2 linked regions of the Schizosaccharomyces pombe genome follow. The protein of the gene in region 2 interacts with the protein of the main gene of each other region in a pairwise test. Each region holds a gene or a part of one and is shown on either strand. Other genes may lie near its edges.

What was found.
Region 1: the proteins of nup44 (region 2) and mdv1 interact in a two-hybrid assay, tested with the Schizosaccharomyces pombe proteins (2 studies listed by BioGRID).

Annotation. Positions count from the first base shown.
Region 1 is NC_003424.3:1,729,458-1,740,785, forward strand, and holds mdv1 (CCR4-Not complex subunit Caf4/Mdv1), read left to right. Parts: upstream 1-5,137; 5' UTR 5,138-5,535; coding exon 5,536-7,491; 3' UTR 7,492-7,850; downstream 7,851-11,328. Other genes in the region: SPOM_SPAC664.13 (uncharacterized protein), read left to right, coding at 48-401; plasma membrane ammonium transmembrane transporter Amt2, read left to right, coding at 2,170-3,708; calcium/calmodulin-dependent protein kinase Cmk1, read right to left, coding at 8,375-8,741, 8,804-9,134, 9,207-9,297, 9,365-9,419, 9,467-9,630; potassium ion/proton antiporter Kha1, read right to left, coding at 11,159-11,328.
Region 2 is NC_003423.3:2,370,376-2,380,517, reverse strand, and holds nup44 (nucleoporin Nup44), read right to left. Parts: upstream 2,556-10,142; 5' UTR 2,484-2,555; coding exon 2,468-2,483; intron 2,424-2,467; coding exon 1,228-2,423; 3' UTR 854-1,227; downstream 1-853. Other genes in the region: TOM complex subunit Tom5, read left to right, coding at 516-581, 633-675, 729-769; COG complex subunit Cog5, read left to right, coding at 3,454-3,908, 3,958-4,030, 4,071-4,778; tbf1 (DNA-binding factor Trf1), read right to left, coding at 4,887-6,344; SPOM_SPBC19G7.18C (uncharacterized protein), read left to right, coding at 7,594-7,741, 7,790-7,860, 7,907-8,446; pdc2 (topoisomerase II-associated deadenylation-dependent mRNA-decapping factor), read left to right, coding at 8,935-9,011, 9,067-9,167, 9,275-10,142. UniProt on the Schizosaccharomyces pombe protein: Functions as a component of the nuclear pore complex (NPC).

The sequences.
Region 1 (11,328 bases), on a different chromosome or scaffold from region 2:
TTTATACTCGAAATTGGCTTGTCTGGAGGTTCCAGTATAAAGAGAGTATGGATTTGGAGGAGCTTCAAAAGATTATTCAAGAAGAGCAAATTCGCTGTGAGAGAGAAATCGCAGAGGCTGCAGAAGCACGTAATTCTTCTAATAGTCTTATTGTAGTTGATGAATATTCCAAGGAAAGCGAAGATGTTCTAGAAAATGGGTTAGAACACGTTCAGTCTAATGAATTCACCGAATCTGAAGATTATAAATCCATTGAGCGCTCTTTGGCTGTCACAGAAGCTGTTATGGCTCGCTTTGAAAAAGAAATGGGTTCATTACGGGATCAAATGAATTTCTTTCATCAAATACTCGATAATGACAACCTCGATGGTTTCCTTACTGGATCCAGCAAACCTTGCTAGATTTATTTGCGAATGGGAATGACTATAGAATTAGCTCAATCCTGTATGCTTCCTGCTACTCTTTCATATAGGTTTAAAGAATCCTTTCGTTTGAAGAGACATGGCAAGTTACGTTTTTTATTCCTTCCTACCATCCTTTGTACACTTAGCATCAAACTCATTAAAATGAACCAATCCACTTGGTCTGTAAACCTAACAAGGCTTGTGTGAAGCTTTAAATAACGTAAAAGAGAAAGAATAACTTAAAAAAATGCAGCTAGAAAAACAGAGAAGCAAGAAATGGATACCTTCTAGTTTACTATTTTGCGCAACTAGATACTCTGTTGCTGCTATTTGAAGAGGCAGTAAGCACGCATAGTTGTTCTTTATTTTTGCATTTTTTTAATCTCATTTTGTAATGAAATAAAGATAATTAAATGGTTTTCTTCTCTTTCACACGTGTCTATGCCTCAGCTTCCATTCCGTGGCATTTTTTTGACGGGTCGACTGCCGACAATACTGAGCAACAAATCCAGGGTGAAAGCTGCTTACTATTCAACTTTAAACGAATCTATAACCCACCGTTTAGATATTGATAGAATTTGGTTATCCAGCTATCAGTTACATTTGCAGTTTATCGCCTATCTCTTCATACTTAAATTTGCATAAGGTTGTTATCTCAACTATCGTTCTGTGGAGAATAATCCAGATCTGAAAGTTACTTGTTTACATTTTCTGTTGAATTACTAAAAATTTTTTTTTGCTACATTCACTGTCTTAGAGGCGCTGTTCCATCCTATTTTACTTATAAACTTACTGTTTTCAAGGCAAAACTACATTTCGTGTGTCGTTGCTGTCTGTACATTAAATCTACCCGGGGGAAGGAGTTGAATGGAAAAGGAGGCCATGCTCCACAATAGTTAAATAGCTGTGTTGAAAATCCATTTAACTGAAAGGCAAACTCGTACATTGTTGTGACGATGCCGGTCTTTCTCATCTATTCCCATCTCAAAAAAGTAACAACCTTCTGTGAACGAATTTTTTTTCCCGAGTCATCCGTTACAGCTTCGGATAGAAAAACCATCACTACCTTGTAGTTAAAAAACATTTATTTAAAAAAGAAATTATCCGCTATCTACCTGGTTTTTTTTACTCGTGCTGGAAGTCGCCTCTGTGTGCCCCCGTTATTTACTACTGACATATATAGCGATTTTCGGTGAGCGTCAAACACAACTTCTTCCCCAAACAGCGCCATTGTCAATTTCACGAATTTTTGAATGTTTGGGATTGTGGAAGTCGACATCGTTTCTTGAGATTATACTACTTGTAAAAGTGCTGTTTACATCTAGTCACTCGAAGTTTTGATTCGTTTGAGAAATTGCTGAAGATTATATCTCGATCTTGACTTAAATTCAAGAGAAAATAGTGTTTTTTTTTAATAAATGCTAGAATATTTATCCATTTCCCTTGGATATTTTACTTTTTTTTCTTTTTGAAAATATAGATCAGATCATTGATTTTCTGTTTTAAGAGTTCCCCTTTTACGTAACAACTTCCTTTTTGGTTAAATCATATTAAGTATTTTTAACCATCACTGATTCTAGTGTCTGAATCAATTACTAATAGTCTTATTACTGTGCTTTGCTTCTTTGTTGACCAAAAAGTTTTATAACTCAGAATCTTTAGGACCTTTCCAATCCAATTTAACATTTAATCATTTTTAAATCCCTCTCTTAATTTCAAAGGTATAAAAAAGAAAGAAAAAATTTTTTCTAAAAAATTCGTTGCCATGTCGTCAGTGAATTCAATTCCCACAGCAACTTCTACTGTTTATATTTCAGTACTGCCAGCTACAGCTACACCTAGTGGTGGTAGTGGTGGAAATGTTTTGCACGAAGATCTTAATAAATTTTATGATTATGGAAACACTAGTTGGATTTTAGCTTGTACTCCATTGTGTCTTATTATGGTGCCTGGTGTGGCTTTTTTCTACTCTGGCTTAGCAAGAAGGAAAAATACATTGGCTCTTATCATGCTCTCTATGCTTGGTTTATGTGTTAGTTTTTTCCAATGGTATTTCTGGGGTTATTCTCTTGCTTTTTCTCAAACTGGAACCTCTGGTTATATTGGCAATCTTCGTCATTTTGCCTTTATTCGCACACTTGCCGATTACTCTCCTGGTAGCAATAATATTCCCGAGCTTGTATTTGCAAATTTTCAAGGAATGTTCGCCGCAATTACTGTAGCCCTCTTCACTGGTGCCGCCGCTGAAAGAGGTCGTATTGGTCCAATGCTCATCATCACATTTGTGTGGCTCACTGTCGTTTATTGTCCCATAGCGTGTTGGATTTGGAATCCAAATGGTTGGGCTTTTAAATTTGGTGTATACGATTTCGCTGGCGGAGGACCTGTAGAAGTTGGATCAGGATTTGCAGCTTTGGCGTATACGGTTTGTTTAGGACGTCGATCCAAATTTGTTGAGGAACAATTTCGCCCTCATTCTGTGCTCAATGTTGTATTGGGAACATCTCTGCTATGGTTTGGTTGGCTTGGTTTCAACGGTGGTAGTGCTTACGGCTCCAATCTGCGAGCCGCTATGGCAATCACCAACACAAACTTAGCAGGTGCTGTAGCTGGTTTAGTATGGGTTATTTACGACTACATTTTTCGCACTAGGAAATGGTCAACCATAGGTTTTTGTTCCGGGGTTGTTGCCGGTTTGGTGGCTGCAACGCCTTGTGCTGGTTTTGTGAGTCCTCATGCCTCTTTGGCAATTGGTGCTATTACTGGCTTATGTTGCAATTGGGCCATTAAGTTAAAGTCACATATGCGCATTGATGATGCGATGGATATTTTCGCTATCCACGGTGTTGCGGGTTTTGTGGGTACCTTTTTGAATGGTTTGTTTGCCGTTGATTATATCGCAGCAATGGATGGTATTTATGTTGGTGAAAACAAAATCAGAGGTGGTTGGTTTGATCACCATTGGCGCCAACTAGGCTTGCAAATGGCCTATATTTGTGCTGTTGGTGCATACGACTTTGTTGTCACGTTTATCATTTTATTCATTACGGACAAAATTCCCTACCTTCAACTTCGAGTGAGCCCTGATGCTGAAGAAATTGGTGTGGATGCTGATCAAATAGGTGAATACGCGTTTGATTATATTGAAGAACGTCGTGAATATAAGCATTGGAAGATTTCCCCTGCCGGTGTACCTGAAGAAATCATTATTTCCAATGGCGTTGCTCAACCTACTGGAAATGTGGCTGCTCCCGGCAAGATTCTAGAATCAACAAACCCATTGGAGCTTGGACTTACGATCTAAATCTTTTTGCATCGTACAAAGTTATTTGGGTTTAAAAAAAAAAAGTAAAAGGTTGAATTGGAGAAAAGATTTTAAGTTAATAAAAGAAATGAAAATTTTGGTAGATTGGTTTATGATTGTTTAAAGAAAAAAAGAAAATAGCACAACTACAAGGTCGCTGTTTGGGAAGTTTTGAACAAAATTACAAAGACTAGAAATTTCTTGAAAGATTTGCTTGTTTTTACTTCTAAAGAGGTCAGAATCTTAAATTATAATTTTAAGGTTTTTTTTTTGTTAACAGCATTTAAAATGAATTCGGTTTAAAGGCAAGACTAATAATTGTAATGAAAATATTTTTATGCGAATTTGGTTTGTAATTTGTGTATCCAAATATGAAGAGAATTAATTATCTTATAAGCCAAAAGATTTAAAATGAGCAAGTCAATCTTTGTTTCCAGTCATAATAAGTTTGTATTTTGTATAATCATCATTCACCATGAAACCAATGAATAGGTACAAAAAAGTACGTCGAATTAGGCTTTAATAACTATTTACTGTTTACGAATTTACCGGAAGTGAAAACCTCACTACTGCATCGAAACAAAAAATAAAAAGTAAACTCCCACTGCGAGACTCGAACTCGCAACCTTCCGGTTAAAAGCCGGACGCTCTAAGCCGATTGAGCTAAACGGGACTTGGTTGAATGGGGTTAAACTTAGTAGTTTATATCTAATTACTTTTAGAACGTATTTTTAATGAGAATATTGAATATGAAATTTCTATATAAACTTGGCGATTGAAATTGATAATTAGCGAATCTCTTGTATCCATATATGTATATTTTATATGTATTTAAATAATATTCAGTTTTGAATAAAGAAGAGTCTTTGAGTCTTAAATTAGGCAATAGATGATGAGTTCCTATGAATTTTTTTAATTTTTTAATAAAAATAACAAATCAAATTAAAGTAAAGGTTAAAAAAATATAAAATTCAAGAAAGAAACATGTTGAGTTATTCTACTCATTATTACAAAAATAATATGTAATGTCTGAACCATCATTCCGCTTTACTAAATGTTTTATTTATTTTATTGCATTACTGTTAAGATGTCAATTTATATATATATTCAATAAAACTGTAAGAGGGTTTGAAGGGCCAGTAAAATTAGCAGTCTATAGTAAGATATATAATTTATAATTTTTATGAACTTTGGTACTCTTGTTTCAGTAAATTGTGTGAATTTATTTATAGTGCTAATAAGATAAATTCGATGAGGATAATTTCTTACAAGTGCCAAACAGTTGAAGTAATAACTTTATTCATAGTATGGATTTTTTTTTTCTACTTCTCTTTCATTTTTGACCTACATATTCCATTTCTACTTTCTCTACCGCCATTGGATTCGCTCATCCCTCTAGTACTTACGTTGCTTTTTCCTTCCTTCTTCCACACACCAGTGACAAAAAAGCTTGTATATTCAATTGTCTCTTGATTTTTATCAAATACAAGCTGAGATTAAAAGAGCTGGACATTTACTACAAATTTTAGTTGTTTGCTTAATTCCCATTGGTTTTTGTTTTGTAAAAGTACGTGCGGGAATCATACTCTTATTGAACTTCTTATACCTTACACGTAGCGTCGATTGAAAAGATTTTATTTCTCAACTCATCTAAAAATTGCTTTCTTTTTTAAGGCCTTCATCTGGATATATCATTTATCTCCGTAAAGCCACCTTTTTTAACCGCTTTTACGTTTGGGAGATCTGAACCCTTTACCTCATTATTTTAATTCCTTAAAGTATTAAAGTTCACTAGCTTTTCTTCTAATTGTTGGCTTTTTTCGTTTTATGACTGATAATAATTCAAAGAGCAAAGATTCTTCACAAAAAATTCCAAATGATTCGTTAACTCCCACTATTTCGAAAGGTTTAAGAAAAGATGTTTTTTATTGGACTAAAGCCATAGCTTATACAACGTGGAATTTCTTCGATTCTAGTCCAGTTACACCTCAAAGAAATCCCATATCTCTGTTCGTGCGTGGCCTTTCTCATCCTTTTTTACGCCATCGTTTATCCAAATCCCAATTTAATGAATGGTTTTTATCACATAACGGTGTTGATCCAGTTCAAGCTCAAACATTGCCCGATCCTCTTTTGTTTGATATTCCGGACCATCAAGAAACGTCTTATAGTTTGCTTGAAGGTTACTCAGTCACTGCTCACGATCATTCCGACACTTCACCTTTGCCGATAACAAGCTCCAACCAAAAGGAAGGCAAAAAAAATGTATCATCGATTGATGTGTCAATGGTTTCCGACTCTTCTGAATTTAAGCCCGATAGCTTACAACACGAAAAATTGGTGAAGAAATGCAATCAACTTCGTCTTCAAAAGCTCATTAATTCTAGCGAACTTGCACAGATTGATTTGGAGTTGTCCAAACTCTATTCTCGAAGAAGGCAAGTTCTTGAACGCCTTAGCAAGATCGAGGAACAGAATTTAAAGTATACTTCCAAGCTGGCTTCTGTTGAGAAACTGATGTTAGATTCGGATGCTCAAGATTTGTATAGCTCATATTCTCATGATTTAATTCCTTCACAAATTGAAGCGGGTAAAAATGGAGCTAACCCCGATGTTTTTGATGATACACACGACAAGTATACAGATAATTTATCTGCTAGGGCTATCTCTCCAAGAGCTCCAAGGCCATCTACGGCTAGTGAAGTGGTATCAGATTACTTTGAACAGAATTCCGCTTTTTCTAAAGCACCAGAGAATACTGAATCATCTGTGAATCAAAATTATATAGTTGGAAATCTCGTAAAGCAGTTTCAAGCTCATTCTGAATATATTACGAGTCTTGATTTTTCCCATCCTTTTGGAACTTTAGCTACGGCCTCGACTGACAAAACTGTGAAAGTTTGGGATATGGCGGGTGTTGTATACCTGGGTTCATTGAAAGGTCATTCTGATTATGTTTCTTGTCTGGCGATTCAAGACTCCTTTATTGCTACTGGCTCTATGGATACAACCGTGCGGTTATGGAATTTAGATAATGATGTACTTCATAAGGATAATCCTGTTGAAGAGAGCCTTAATTCTCCTCCCGATCAACCTGTTGACAATGCCACAAATGTTTTAACATCTCACACTGCCCCTGTCACTGCATTAGCATTATCTAGTGATGATGTGCTTATAACCGGTGCCGATGATAAAACTGTTCGACAGTGGGATATCGTTACGGGGCGTTGTATTCAAACTTTGGACTTTGTGTGGGCGGAAACTCATGATACATCTACTAGTCAAATTTTGGTCAGTGACACTTACAAACAAGAACCTTTCATCAGAGCTTTAGACTGCTTAGATGCTGCTGTGGCTAGTGGGACTGTCGATGGACTTATTCGCATCTGGGATTTGCGAATCGGTCTTCCTGTGAGAAGTTTCATTGGGCACACAGCTCCTATTTCTTCTTTGCAATTCGATTCCAACCATTTGTATTCCGGAAGCTATGACAATTCTGTTAGAATATGGGATTTACGAAGTGGCTCGCCAATTAATATTATACCTATGGAGAAAAAAGTGAATTCCTTAAGACTGTATCAAGGTCGTCTTGCTGTAGCATCTGATGAACCAAATGTTAGGATATTTGATACTGTATCTAATCGGAACTGGATTTGTTCAATTCCTTCTCACTCTGATTCCATAGCAGCCGAACCTAACTCAGTACCTACTTCTGTTCAATATAAAGATCGCTTTTTGGTGGATGGAAAGTCTGATGGATCTGTTAGCGTTTTTTCTGCTTAATTTGTATTTTTTATCCACACCTTTATTTATTATACTCTCGTTATTGTGTTGAATCTGGATAACGTTAATTTTAAAATTTTATGTCTTTATGCTTTGGTTAATGGGTATTAACTTCTGTTTGGTTTTTTTATTTATTTATGGACAAATAAAAAGGAACGAGACATTGCGAATAAAAAACTGTGATGTTAATTTTGTTCAAAATATTTAAAAAAATTCTCAAAGCAAATTGTTTGATCACCACCTCCCTTCTGCTTCTTATACTGTAGGTTTAAAATTTAGTAAATAAAAATCTTTTCTAGTTTACATTTTTTTGGTTTTACTAGTATGAAGTACGCAACCTCATTCTGATCTGAGATGTTGTATTTCATTTTGTTGATCCAGTTTACAAAACACGCTCAGCGTGTTTAATGTCAACTACACATAATAAGTATTGAAGAATCTTTTTGAAATTAGCAATTTGAACTCACACAGTGAGTAAAATATGGAAATAACCAAGCTCTTTTTATATTTCAGATTAACTGAATGGTCATTTTATTTTTGAAGCATAAATAGTCATAAATGCTAAAATTTCAAAATTTTACATCTGCAATATATATAGAGAATTAAACAACTGCGTTCATCTGTCGTCAACAGTCTAACAATGTCAGAAAACTGGTAGCGTTACTTTTTAAAACATCGACATAACTTTTAGCATTTTGTATGAGGCTATTTTAAAAACTAAGTAGAGAACATGATAGGTCCAAGCATTCCAAATCACAAAGAATATATTTAACATGTAAGAGTGTTAATACCAAAAAAGTATGTACTGAGGGCAAAAGATAATAAAGAAGTCATAAGTCATAACAAGATAAAATAAGAAAGTTATAAGAAAAGATGTGTATAATTAATGCTTATTCTCAAGCTTTTTCCAAGTGTTGAAAGCACGTACAGCGTTATAGGCAGTACGGAACGTTTTTCTTGCATTGAAATTTTCCCGGACGTTTGGAAGCAAATTGGAGGTTGCGGGACGCTTTTCAGACAGGAAGGGGTGCTTCAACGCATCAGCAGCAGTTAAACGTTTCGAAGGGTCGTTTTCCAAACATTTTTTAATAAAGTCCTTGGCCGTTTCTGAAATGCCAGACCAGCAAGGATCGTTAAAAGTGTACTCGTTAGCTAAAATTGCTTCTATAACTTCAACCTGAGAAGGTCGAGCAAATGGAGTATAACCACTGAGTAAAAAATAAGTTATAACGCCAATAGCCCACATATCTCTATAAACAGTATTAGTCAAGATACATAACTTCTGAATTAAAATGGTAGTTGATCAACTTACACAGGTTTTCCATATCCGGTTCGACGAAAGACTTCGGGTGCCATGTACTCTGGTGTCCCACATGCCGTCATGAGCATATAGTATTGAGAATCCTCATAAAAGTGGGACAATCCAAAATCGGCAATTAACAAATCTGAATTCGGATCTTTAGAGCGATAAAGTAAATTTTCTGGCTTCAAATCTCGATGTACAATTCCATTGTCATGCAAGTACTTAACTGCTGATGTGGTAGTACGCATTAAAGCAGCAGCATCGGCCTCATAAAATGAACCTTTGGCACATATTCTATCAAAAAGTTCACCACCGGTGGCCAGTTCAGTGATTAAGTACACTGTTTCAAGGGTTAGTGAACAAAACACATCACAATAACATTTGATTCATCAAATCGAAATCGGAGACATACGATTATTCACAGTTTCAAAAAAATCAACCAAGTGTAAGATATTAGGATGTTCATAAGAAACACGTTTTAGAATTGCAATTTCATTCTTCACCTATACCACCAAAAACATGTTAGTAAACGTAAATAAGGATGCTGTAAGTACTTAAGTCTTTACTTACAAAGTCTTGTTTCTTCTCCATCATCTTTTTATTCATAATCTTAGCCGCATACATTCTATGAAAATTTGGTCAGCAAACAACTCGAATTTAAAATATACTTACTTGTTAGTTTCGATATGAACGGCTTCACGAACCGTCGCATATGTTCCGCCTCCCAAAACCCGACCGACACGATATTTGCAAGGTAATAGTTGTTTCTGATCCACCGTAGCCTTTGGAGCACCGTCTTTCAAGGCCGAGGTGTTTGGTTTGTATGTTTGCTGCATAGCTGTAAAGAATCAATAGATGAATTATTCCAATGCCAACGAAGGTAAACGTAAAAGGTTTCTCTTAATGTAAATTATTGTATTGTTAGATGGTGCCATAAACAATTCTGTACTACAGAATTCTTTTATGAAACCAAAAATGTAAAGGTATGTAAATGAAAAAAATCCCGTAGAAACAATAAAGAAAATATTATTTGCGCGAAGCAGGCTGTTGAGTTAAACGGTGGTTCAATAACAGAATGATCTAAGCAGCGCAATGACTGTCCACCAACTTATGACAATAAGTGCTTAGCCTCAACTTGTAAATATGGAAAAATTTGGAAAAGGTATATTGAAATCCTCGGATTTAACAGGATATTGATATTGAATGTACCCGAATAGTATTGATGAAGATAACAAGAAAACCAGCGTCTGATAAATACCGTCCAACTGATTTGCAATTGCAAAACCAGTAGTCTGCAGTATAGTCATAAATCCTGGTAATTCCCAATCGGTTCAGTAATTTCCGTACCTATTTTCCTCTTCTAAGAGAAAACAAGATCAGAAAGATCAAAATTACAATTAGCGTATTGAAACCACCAAACACTGTAACAATGCAACACAATTATTTAAAGAATTGAATTTAATTATACAATCCTTAAAAAATCGCAGTTTTATGAGCAATTGGCAAAACGCGAACTGCTTGAAATTTCGCTGATATTACCAGCTCATGAGAGTTAAGTAGATATAACAAGCCATCATGGCGAATATTGGTCACTAACGTATACCGTAATAATGCGCTATCCCATGCATTTTAGTTTGTTTAAATACAGTAAGCGTATTAACAACATAGAACAGAATACGAAAAGGTAACCACGTAACAAAGATTCATACTGTAACAAAAATTGTGAAAAACAGACTGAGTGTAAATTGAGCTAATAAAATCGATTTTGAATGATTACTTTTATAATCTTTTCCATCTTGGAAGAGGTATTTAGTTATTTGAGAAAGAACCGAACTACCTTCTGAAAGGAATACCATACATTTTACAATAGCAGTGAGTATGGTATGTTAATTTCTCATATGCTTCTTGTATGATAGTTAGTCGAAATGTATTGGAGATAATGTTGAAGAAGTAAATAGTAAAAAATGCGCATGCATGCTTGACTCCATTTGTTCTACAGTACTTTACCCTTGCTATGATATAAATTCAAAGTATCGGTTTAAACAGACGAAACCAATAAGGGTTTAAACTCACATGGGTTTTTGAAGGAAGATGAGTCTACAATGTAAACTATTCAACTCTTAAATAACACTTTTTGATAAATCGCGATATAGCCAAAAACTAGAAGAACCCTAAGTAACTTCTTCTTATTAAGGTATAAAACAAGTTTTCTACATTGCGAATAACGAATAGAGATGAATGCATTAATTCTAACATTGAAAATAATATAGTCGATCCTTTGGATTCCAAATAAATTATGAAAACCATTTAAATCATTAATTAAAAATAAATTATGAGATGGATGCAATAAAAACCTGAAATTAATCAATAACCTTGAACCATCTTTGTAGGTGCCTTCCCTAAAAAGAAATCTATTAATGGAAAATTGCTCAACAGCACTAACGGAATTAAACCTGCAAGCATACCAAATTCTGAGCTAGACTCAATGTAACCCAATTTCTTCATCTCCGACAGTGCAGCCACCTCAAGTTTTT
Region 2 (10,142 bases):
CATGTATACTGTCAGCAATACTACACTACGCTATGATACACTACTTGCGTATCACTATATGTCACATGTTCTAATTATATATCGTACCATGTATGATACGATATGGAGATTGATCTTAATGATAATCTATTAAGATCTATATTATCTGAATACTATAAATAGAGCTACTGCTGAACCTCGTTCCTCAGTTCAGTTATGAGCTATATTAGTGATAGGTAACATCATAACCTAGTTAATACAATACCTATATCCAGTTGCTACTTATACAACCTGTGTATTGTAATATAATAGATCACAAGGAAAACTTACCGCAGCTCTACGTATCCTTAAATCAGATACCAAACTGCGTAGCTTACAATATAGTGACAAACAACATGATATAATTAACGATGTCTAACGATGCGAGGTGTACCATTCAAGCTATTCTCTGTGTCGGTGAATGTTCCAACTTATTCCAGCTTCTGCCAAACACACAAGCTCTTTCTCGAATAACCGTTAATAAACGTACTATAAAGATGTTTTCTGGTGCAGGACGCCCTAGTAAAGAGCAAATCAAGCAGTATGATAATTTGGCTGTCGGCGTATGTAATTATCTCTCGTATCTATAGCATATTAACGAAATGGATAATTAGGAAATGAAAAAGGGTGCCTCAGTTGCCGCTGTCTTGTTGTTAAGTAAGCTTTTTTAATTGTAATGGTTTCACTTGGTTTTCTAACTTTTATATAAGCTCCTTTTGTTATTTCTTTTTTTCAAAAGATGCGAGCATAAAAACATTTATTCCAAGTGTTGGCTTTTGTGCTATAAAAATGGATGGTTATTGTACGTCGAATACAATTTTATGATCGACTGTATGTAAATAATCAGACAATTTATTTTTACCGTTCTTGATCGAGTCGTAAATTTTACATGAGTGGGTTGAATTATTTGATTTTGAATGTAAAGTCACTAAAAAATGGTTATTATAGAAATCGTTCATGGATTGAACTGGTAGCTAAATGTGTATAGAGAGTTCATAGATTTCCTGTGCGATGCTGCGCCGTTATATGTAATTTTAAGTCAGTAATATCTTTTGGACCACTTGTCAATCAATTGACTCCCAATTAGATGAATTTCTTAAAAAAAATTCGGTTACCAGAAAAATAAAAAAAGGAACCTAACTATGATTTTCATGTTGGTCGTTTCTAATTTAATTAAATACAGAAAATAACGTGAAGTAGGAATTACCGCTATTTTTGTGATTGAGGAACGTGCTCAGTTAATTGCTTGTTCAACGTCGCTAAATCTTCTTGCATCAGTTTTACCACATATGAAAGACCAACTTGATGATCCCTTAAGACGTCCGTAATGACTTCTAGTTGATCAGAATTTTTTCGCCAATCCACTACTCCCTTAGCCAAATTACTTCGCTGATCTTCAGATATCTTTTCTCCTTCAAAAATAAGAGTAATTCTTGCCCATATTTCGTTGAGCCGACCAAAAATTTCAGGATTATTTAGCGATTTTGTTAAATCATCTAATTTTTTACGTAGCTCTTCTTCATTAGGTTTTAGTGCATAACCACGATGTCGTAAAACATGTACTTTAATTGCAAGTCGTAAAATTCTTTCAGACAGACGGACGTGACGATTTTTCGCCTCGGCAAGTTTGATGCTAAAATCAAGGTCGTGTTTGTTACTTAATCTTCCTAAAGTTTCAACAATTTCACGCATCCGAATACGGTACGTGTTCACTTGTTGAATCTGCATATTAATTCTTTTTTGTACATCGGGGAATCCTACGGCCAAAACGGGAACAACACTGTTGCTTGGTCGATTAGCAACAGCTTCGTCCCATTTTTGTTGGTTATAATTTGGAGGCTTAACATATAGTGCAGCTTGCTCAACAGGAACCTTGTTATAAAAGAACCGCTGAAAAGCACAATCAGGATGGTTGAGATTCCATGCATTCAAGATTTTCTGCACTTGCTCCTCCACGGACGGAGGTTGAGCAGGGCCATATTGAGCATTGCTCACGGTCGCATTTGGGGATATACCTGAAGACAGCAATAAGCTGCTAGGGATCGTAGCATTGGTTTCGTCTACTGGTTTTGTGGGATTGTTGACTGTACTCCACGAAAATAATGGTTGCGTATTTGAGTTGCCGGTTCTTGATGCAGCGTTTTGGCCAAATACAGTACTTTGTGGGGCATTGGTGGTAGTATTGGAGAAAGAAGTGGTCGGCTGTTGTTGTGTTTTACCGAAAATTGAATTTCCAAACGGTGGAGCTGACGAAGAACCAGTAGGGCCTCCTGCACCTACATTAGTGTTTGTGGACCCAAAAATAGATCCAGAACCGAAAGGTGCAGTTGGTTTTGTGGTATTCGACTGGCCAAAAACGCCAGTTGAGCCAATGGAAGGTGCCTTTATTGACGACCCTTGTTGACCTACAGTCGTTAGCAACTTATAACTGATGAATCTCAAAGCATACCAAAAGAAAATGCCATAGCGATTTTGCAATTCTTTTACAAGGGAAGCTTGGCTCTTAAATTCTGTCTATTTGATGGGTTGCAAAATCTAGAGTGAGTGATAGCTATAGCTTCACAATAAAGTCAGTCTGCGGTTAAGTTCGTTAAATGATGCCCTATTTTCAGGAAAGCTACCCTATAGCAATTTTGAGATATATTGCGTACTACTTTATTCAATTTACTCTTTCCTTTGGAATTCAAATTATTACTGTTATTCTCGAGATTTATTGAAACTTCAAATTTTGAATTAAATACCCACAGTAAAATTTTTTTTAGACAAACTACAGCATATTTTTCAAGTATATTCTTAGTCAATTTCCTATAGCAATTTGTAAGTTAATCTCTTCGTTAACTCCAATAAATTTAAATTTGCTTTATTTGAGAGCAAAGATATGAATTCGTATTACATTTTAGTAGTTTATATATACATTTACTGCATTTTTAGTCACTTTGTTTGAAAACTGTAACTGCCTGACGAATGTTTACTTGAGGAGTATGTTGAAACCATACTAACTCTTAGAGCCGCGGATTTCAGTTGGAATTTTAAAAGCCTTCGTGGTTCGATAAAATTCAACGTTCAAATTGATAAGTTTTTCAATCTTCTATTTGAAAATCTCTTTCTTTGTTCTTTAGAATATGAATGAGTAGCATGTTACTTACAATAGTCGGTCAAAGTGTCTAAGGTATACGCTCTCATATACTACATTAGTTGCACCAGACGAAGTAAGCGTATACTTGCAGGATAAAGTTGTAGTGTTATCGTGTTTCGAATAGAAGTGCTAGAATACACTGTTCAATTGCGGATTTTACTTGTTCAAAACATTCGTTGTAAGATTTGGTATCGATTCTGCGTTTTACGATTGATCGTCAAATAAACTAAAGTTAAGTATCATTAAAATCTATGAAATAGCTTGTAAAAATTTCGTTTAAAGCGCTTAAAATTCCTGTTATGGAGTTTCGATATGATTTTTCAGATTACAAAAAATCAGATTTCGATCCAAAGGCGCAGGCTGAACGAGTGTTAATCTCTGTTCATGCTGACTCCGATGTTAACGAAGACAAAGAAGTCGCCAGAAAGAGGTTGGGGTATGCACTCAAAGAAGTAGAGCGGCAAATTACCGATTTGATTGTGCATGAGGAAACCACGTTGACGAAAAATGTATCTAGTTCTTTGAATGCTCAGTCATATTTGCAAGATATCGAGGGAAAACTAGAACAATTGATGTTGGTTTATGAAAGAATTCGTTCGCTGGTAGTCATTCCATCTGAAAATTTGGGTCCCCTTCATGAGGCAATTGTAAATTTGCATTCAACATACATGACTTTGTATTGGCTTGGGGAGTTTTTTGGCATACAAGCAAAGTTATTTCCCCTTTTCCAGGGATCGATTAATGAAAATGAAAAGTATGCTTATTGTTTTGCTCAATGATTTTGGTATGCTAACAAATTCAAGACTTTCACGCTATTATCAAGCATCTTTACTATTACAAGAGTCTGATCAATTATTAAGCCGGTTTCCATTAATGGTATGAAATATATTTTCTGTTTCTTGGCTAATTATTGTAGAAAAGACAATCGTCCGTTTCTTTACTCTTAAAACTTAATATAACCAATCGATCGAGAATTATAAAAGAAACATCCAGCTATCTATTATCACAAGAAGATCAACTTTCTTTCAGTGTGAACTCTAATGGTTTTACAAATGCTTGCTCTGTTTTATATATGTTAGACAAATATTTGTTAGAACAGGACTTAACTCGTCTTTTAAGTTCTCGTATACAGAAGGCCATTATACAATTCGACTCGATTTTCCAACTGTCCCCCACTACACGAAGACTCCTACATAACAGTACAGATCCTTCAGCGGCAAATTCTACTATATGGTCCAAATTTGAAGACGGGTGGTACCAAATTTCAAAGATTGGTGCACAATGCGTCTTTTGGGAAAGGTCACTTCAAAAGGCTAATATTTGTAATCCAGACTACCCAAATTTATTAGAATATTTTCAAATGCAACCAAATTTTATCCTTGATGGTGCAACTATTTGTATCTATTTTTTCAAAGAGCTGGCAATTTCTATCAGCAGCAAAATGCAAATGCTTGATCGCCGTGATCCAATACTCTTGCGGGTATTCCGAAGCGATTTTCAGCGAGTTACGCATATTGTGGAACAAGCTATTGCCAGGTCATCCTCCGAAATTGTAAATAAAGATACACGGGAATGTTCAATTGTAATGAATAGCCTCCGAGTATTAGCACCAAAAAACCCATAGATTAATAATAATTATAATTTATACATAAAATGCCTCACGCTTAATCGTTTTAGTATTTAAAAAAAAATCGCAAACTTAATCAAGAATGAAATAAACTCCTGATACTACTTAATCTCGCCGAAGATCGCCTGTAACACATTGTAATGCTGCGGGGACCACCTGACCACTTTTGAGAAAAAATAGTTTCATATTGCGAGCCTTATCTTTCAACTGAACTTGATTGCGATATTTCAAAACTTCACTCTTTTTGCCTCCAGGACCATAAAGCTCCAAAATTTGGCTCCACCGGGGACCTTTTACTAAATCAAGACCATCAAGCAATGCTTCCTCTTCCTCTTTTGTCCAAGATCGACGATTGGCTACGCGCCTCGTACGCTTGTTATTTAGGTTATTATTTGTCATATGTCGAACCTGATCATAAAGAACGACACTGGATACATTTTGTGTTTCCGAGGAGCCGTCAAAAGTTGAAGATGGTATACCAAATGCGAGACTATCGGTCAGGTCTGAACCAGATTCTGAAGGGGATGATTCGGCTTCGCCAGCCTTAAACCTCAATCCGTTCTTCTTGGATCGTCGTTTGAATGAGTTAGCAGGAATTGGAATGGCCGAAATAGACGAGTAATTGTTATGGATGTAACAAGCAATCTCGCTTAAAAATTTCCCCCATGGATATACTTCATTTAAAGCTTCCTGTGGGGAGAAGTTTGCCAATCTTTCTTTTCTAGCCGTACATTTCTCTATGATTTGCTTTTCAACATAAGTAAGTTTGTCATCCAGCTTAGCATTTCGTCGGATAAGAAATCGATGGGCCATGTCAGAGGGAAAAAGATCGTTTAATATGTCTCCCTTGGGACGTTCTGCCTGAGCCATAGCCGAAATATATGCTTGGGTTTTGAGTTCCATATAAAGAGTGCCCTGATTAGTGAGGATATTAGATTCGTCCGGAGCAAAAACCTCCAGAAAATTTTCATTCAAATGAAAAAATCCAATTTGTAGCGCTCCATAGACAGCTGCCAGAAAGATAGCAAGATTTGCGCGTCTAGTCGTACTTCTTTGACTCGGCGTCCTCATACCAATGGCAGAGGAATAAATAAAAGATTCTTCAGTATAAATGTCCTTTACCATACGAAACATATTCATTACTTTGGTAAAGGCCATACCCATTTCGGAGGCTGGATTAGTGACAATGGCAGATGCCTCTTGTACTGGCTTCCCAAGAATTGACAAAATTATGTTACTAAGGTTACCAAGAGTAGGAATAAGAGATGTACGAAGAAGTTGCTGAGGTGTAGCAATAGGATTAGGTTGGTTGAAAGCGTAATCCATGCCTTGATTCATGCGTAAATAAAAGTCCGGCGTCATATTAAATTGAATTCCGGAAAGATCAAACCCTAAAGGAATTTCTGCATTTGGTGCAACATTTTGAGGCTCGAGTTCAGAATTTTGTTCTGATAATTGTTGTAACATTTGGCGATCTTGTTCGAGGGCAGTTGATTCTGGATCAATCGCTAAGCGTTTTTGACCCTTAAAATCATCACTAGGGTCTAAGGATCGTTTTGACATTTTCTTGGAAATCGTAGTTTTTCAATTGATCAAAGAAAATACAAACTATAGGTGAGAAGCAGTCTGATTAATCGATTGCTAAACAAATCCAAGGAGCAACGATATCCAGTGACTACCGAATAGTAAATCTTGCATCAAAAGTTCCAATTCTTCTTTACTACAAGGTTTTTTAAAATATATCCTTCCAATGCAGGCAAAGTAACAACCAAATGCGAGTTTTCAGGTATTTGTGTGTCAATTGATTAGGACAGCGTATATTTAATTGACTCGTAATAAAAAATCTCTTGCATATTTCACTTCATTGGCGTTCGTTATTTTTATTAACGAATTCCAATAAGCCAGATGTGTTAAATACCATTATATCGTTGTATTTCTTTACTAATTTTATCAACATTTCATTCCTTTGTAGAAGCGATATCTGGACATTATTAACTAATGAATAAGCTGTAACTACTACTAGTAGTTCCTACATATTAGATACAAAATCCGTCTAAATTGGCAAAACTTTTTAAAAAAAAAGACCAAGTCTGTATTGCATCTATTTCTCTATTTCTCAATTGCCTTCTTGTATTTTTCGTTAGCTGTGTAAAATGCAGTGGCGCTTGTTTAATTTACGAGATAGAATTCTGTGCTAAATTAGTTCAAAATGAATAAATACGGTTAATGACAAAGAATTATACGATATAGACTTATTTAACAACTGGGAAATTCCTGTTGAACATATATGCTTGCAATATTAAAATTCAAAACAATCGTATACCACGAATTGATGCCACCAAGGTCTGTTTCATTGAAAGATGGAATGTAAAACGTAGTTCGAAAAAGTTGCATATTTCATCACAAGTGCTTACCAGCCAAAAAAAATTCAGTCTATCAGTTTCATAAGAAATTTCAACAGAACAATCTTGTGTGTCAAATTTTTATTCAGATACGTATTTCTTATTCATGCCAAGTATCACTGTAGTAGCTGGGAAATTTAGATGGTCCTAATCCCTAGAGATTCTCCTTATTCACATCCTCTTACATCAGTATCCAAACTATCCATAAGGCAACAAGTGATGAGTACTATTACCTTTTAGTAGTAGTATTTTTACATTAGAAAGGCCTCAAATTTTTATATATTGGGTTAAATTGTACAGTCCGCAAATAATTTAATTACATTTATTTCGCTAACATAACCCGTATAAGCACGTTTCATATTCTTGACATTATTGTGTAGCCTCAGGAATCGCTTCCAACGTTTATTATCATGGATTTTTTTTGGGAACGAATGTTAAATGATCCTCAAAACCATTTCAGTGATGACCAAAAGGAATTTCTAAATCATGCAAAATACCGTGTCAAAAGAAATACGATTTTTGGGATGCTAGTCGGGTTTTCTCTCCCATTATACTTAGGTATGAGATTTCGAACAAGCAATTGAAAATAACTTTCTTATTTTTTAGCTCGTAACAAAAAGGTTACTCCAATCCGCTTGTATGCAACATCAATTATAGGAGGTCTTGCTGGAAATGGGGTAAGTTTTAAGTAATACTAAGCTCAAGCTTACAAATTATGAATAGGTTGCTCAGATTACTACTCTGGCATACAATTTGTCGGCTATACGTCAAAGAGATGATGGCTTTGAAATACTTCGCAAAATACAAGACTCCCTTATTCGACAAAGAACAACGATGCGACAAGGCAGATTTCCTTCTTCATCTTCTGAATTCCCTCCAAAAAACTCAAAATATCAATTACCTGGAAGTATGCCGAATACTGGTGCCTCTTCTAGTCAAGATCCCTTTACGAATTCACAGAGTACGGAGAAAGAGGACGCCATGTACTCTAAAGACAATGGCTTTGAAGATCGATCAAAGCCAGCGTCAGCATGGGAAGCTATTCGTAACCGTAATCGAAATACCGGTAACAATTCTTTTCCATTTTACGAAGAAGACTCGAGTGTTAAATCCACAGATAGTGCTTTTAGTGGACAAGAAAATTCTGAAGCATTTCCTTCCCGAACTTCTAATCTAGGCTCTGAACAGTTGGATGAACCTATTTCTCACGAACAGGAGGCATTTGATCAATTGATCTGGAATGATTCATCGTCTTCCAAATAATTTCCTTTATCTCTACATGTTACGATAATTTAAAATTAATTTTTACCAATTTGAGTGTCACTGAATTTATGATGTAAAGTAGTTAAATTTAGTAGATATTTCTTTTTTTCTATACTGCATTGCCAGATTGATGTAGCTTGCTTGAGCAAGCAACTTATGTATGTTCATGCATAAATTTCGATACATTTCAGTCTTTCAAAAAGAGATAAATTTAAATTCATATTTATGATATACATCTATACGTGATAGGTTTTAATAGCTAGTCTTGAAGATTGATGTGAAATAAAATAGGGATAGATTTACTGGTATAGCAAACCAAATAACAACTTTAAAATTCAGATATAAAAAAAGAACGCAAAGTAAAAATATATATAAAACGCCATGAATCAGTCTGCGTCGAACCAACCCAATCTACTGTCATGAGTATTGTTGTATGCAGTGCCGCCCACCTAGCTACCACCAACTTCTCATTACCATAAACCCATAAAATGTCATTTTTTGGGTTTAATACTACCCTTCCAAAGGAAAATATGTTTCCTAACGAAGGGCAGTTAGAAGAGGATGGGTAAGTCGTTAATATTAATGTAAATATGATACTTTAAGCTCACAAGTATATTTAGCATTGACTTTGAGGAGACCTACGACGATTTGGGTAATCAATTAAATGAAGCCGGAGATGAACTAAACGACGAGACTTTTGGTGTTAGCGCTGGAAGTATAGGTATGTACCTTTGTGCTTGTGATTCTGTAATCATTCTCGGCTGTCATATCTGGGATATTGCAAGCTATTAGTATTTAATATTTTAATATTTTTTCTCACAATTCTAGGACGTGATTTTGATTTTTCAGGTACTACCGCTCAAGCATCTGCACAATTGGAAGATGAGCAGTACCAAATTAATCAACAAAATATTTTCGCTAAACCTGTCAAACCAGCTTCTTCAGAGTTACCTCAAGTTAGTAGACTTAATGGTGCTTCACAATTTCCTTCACGGGAACCTGCGTCTACTGCGATCAATAAGCTTTCCGATTTGCAGCCTATGGCTTCGATTTGGGAAAATATTGTTCCAGAAAAGCCGGCTATTATTCCACCTGAGGTAGCCTCTCTTCAAGATCGTTTGGGTGCCCAACCATCTGAGAAGGTTTTTAGCTTGCAGGAGTTGGAGGAACAGTTATTGAACTCAATGACCGCTCCAAAACCACCTTCTCAACCCGCTATTCCCATTGTTCCATCCGAAATGGCTGCTCAAGTAACTCGAGAAAACATCTCTTCATTGGACCCGGCGATTAGTGCGGCTAGTATTGGTAATGTTACTTTTGGTCAACCAAACATCCCTAGCACTACAACTGATTTTGCTGGATTAGCTGCTCCTAATATGGTACATCCTTCGCAAGCTATACCCAATCCTGTTATGCAACCTTCCCTTGTACCTCAAATGCCATATCCTCAAAACGGCATGTACAACCCAAGTGTTGCTCCTCCTGCTTCCCTTGTTAATCTTTTCCAGCAGGAACAATTAATTCAAAACCAGAACCTTGATGAAAAACGTCAAAAGTTAGAGCGTGATCATATGCTCATGGCTCAATGTGCTGGGTTAATGACACGCAGTGATAAATCGTTTATTGCGAGAATTCAAATATCGCAATTGATGTCGGAGGATCCCGAATCTGATGATTTTTATTATCGCGTTTACTC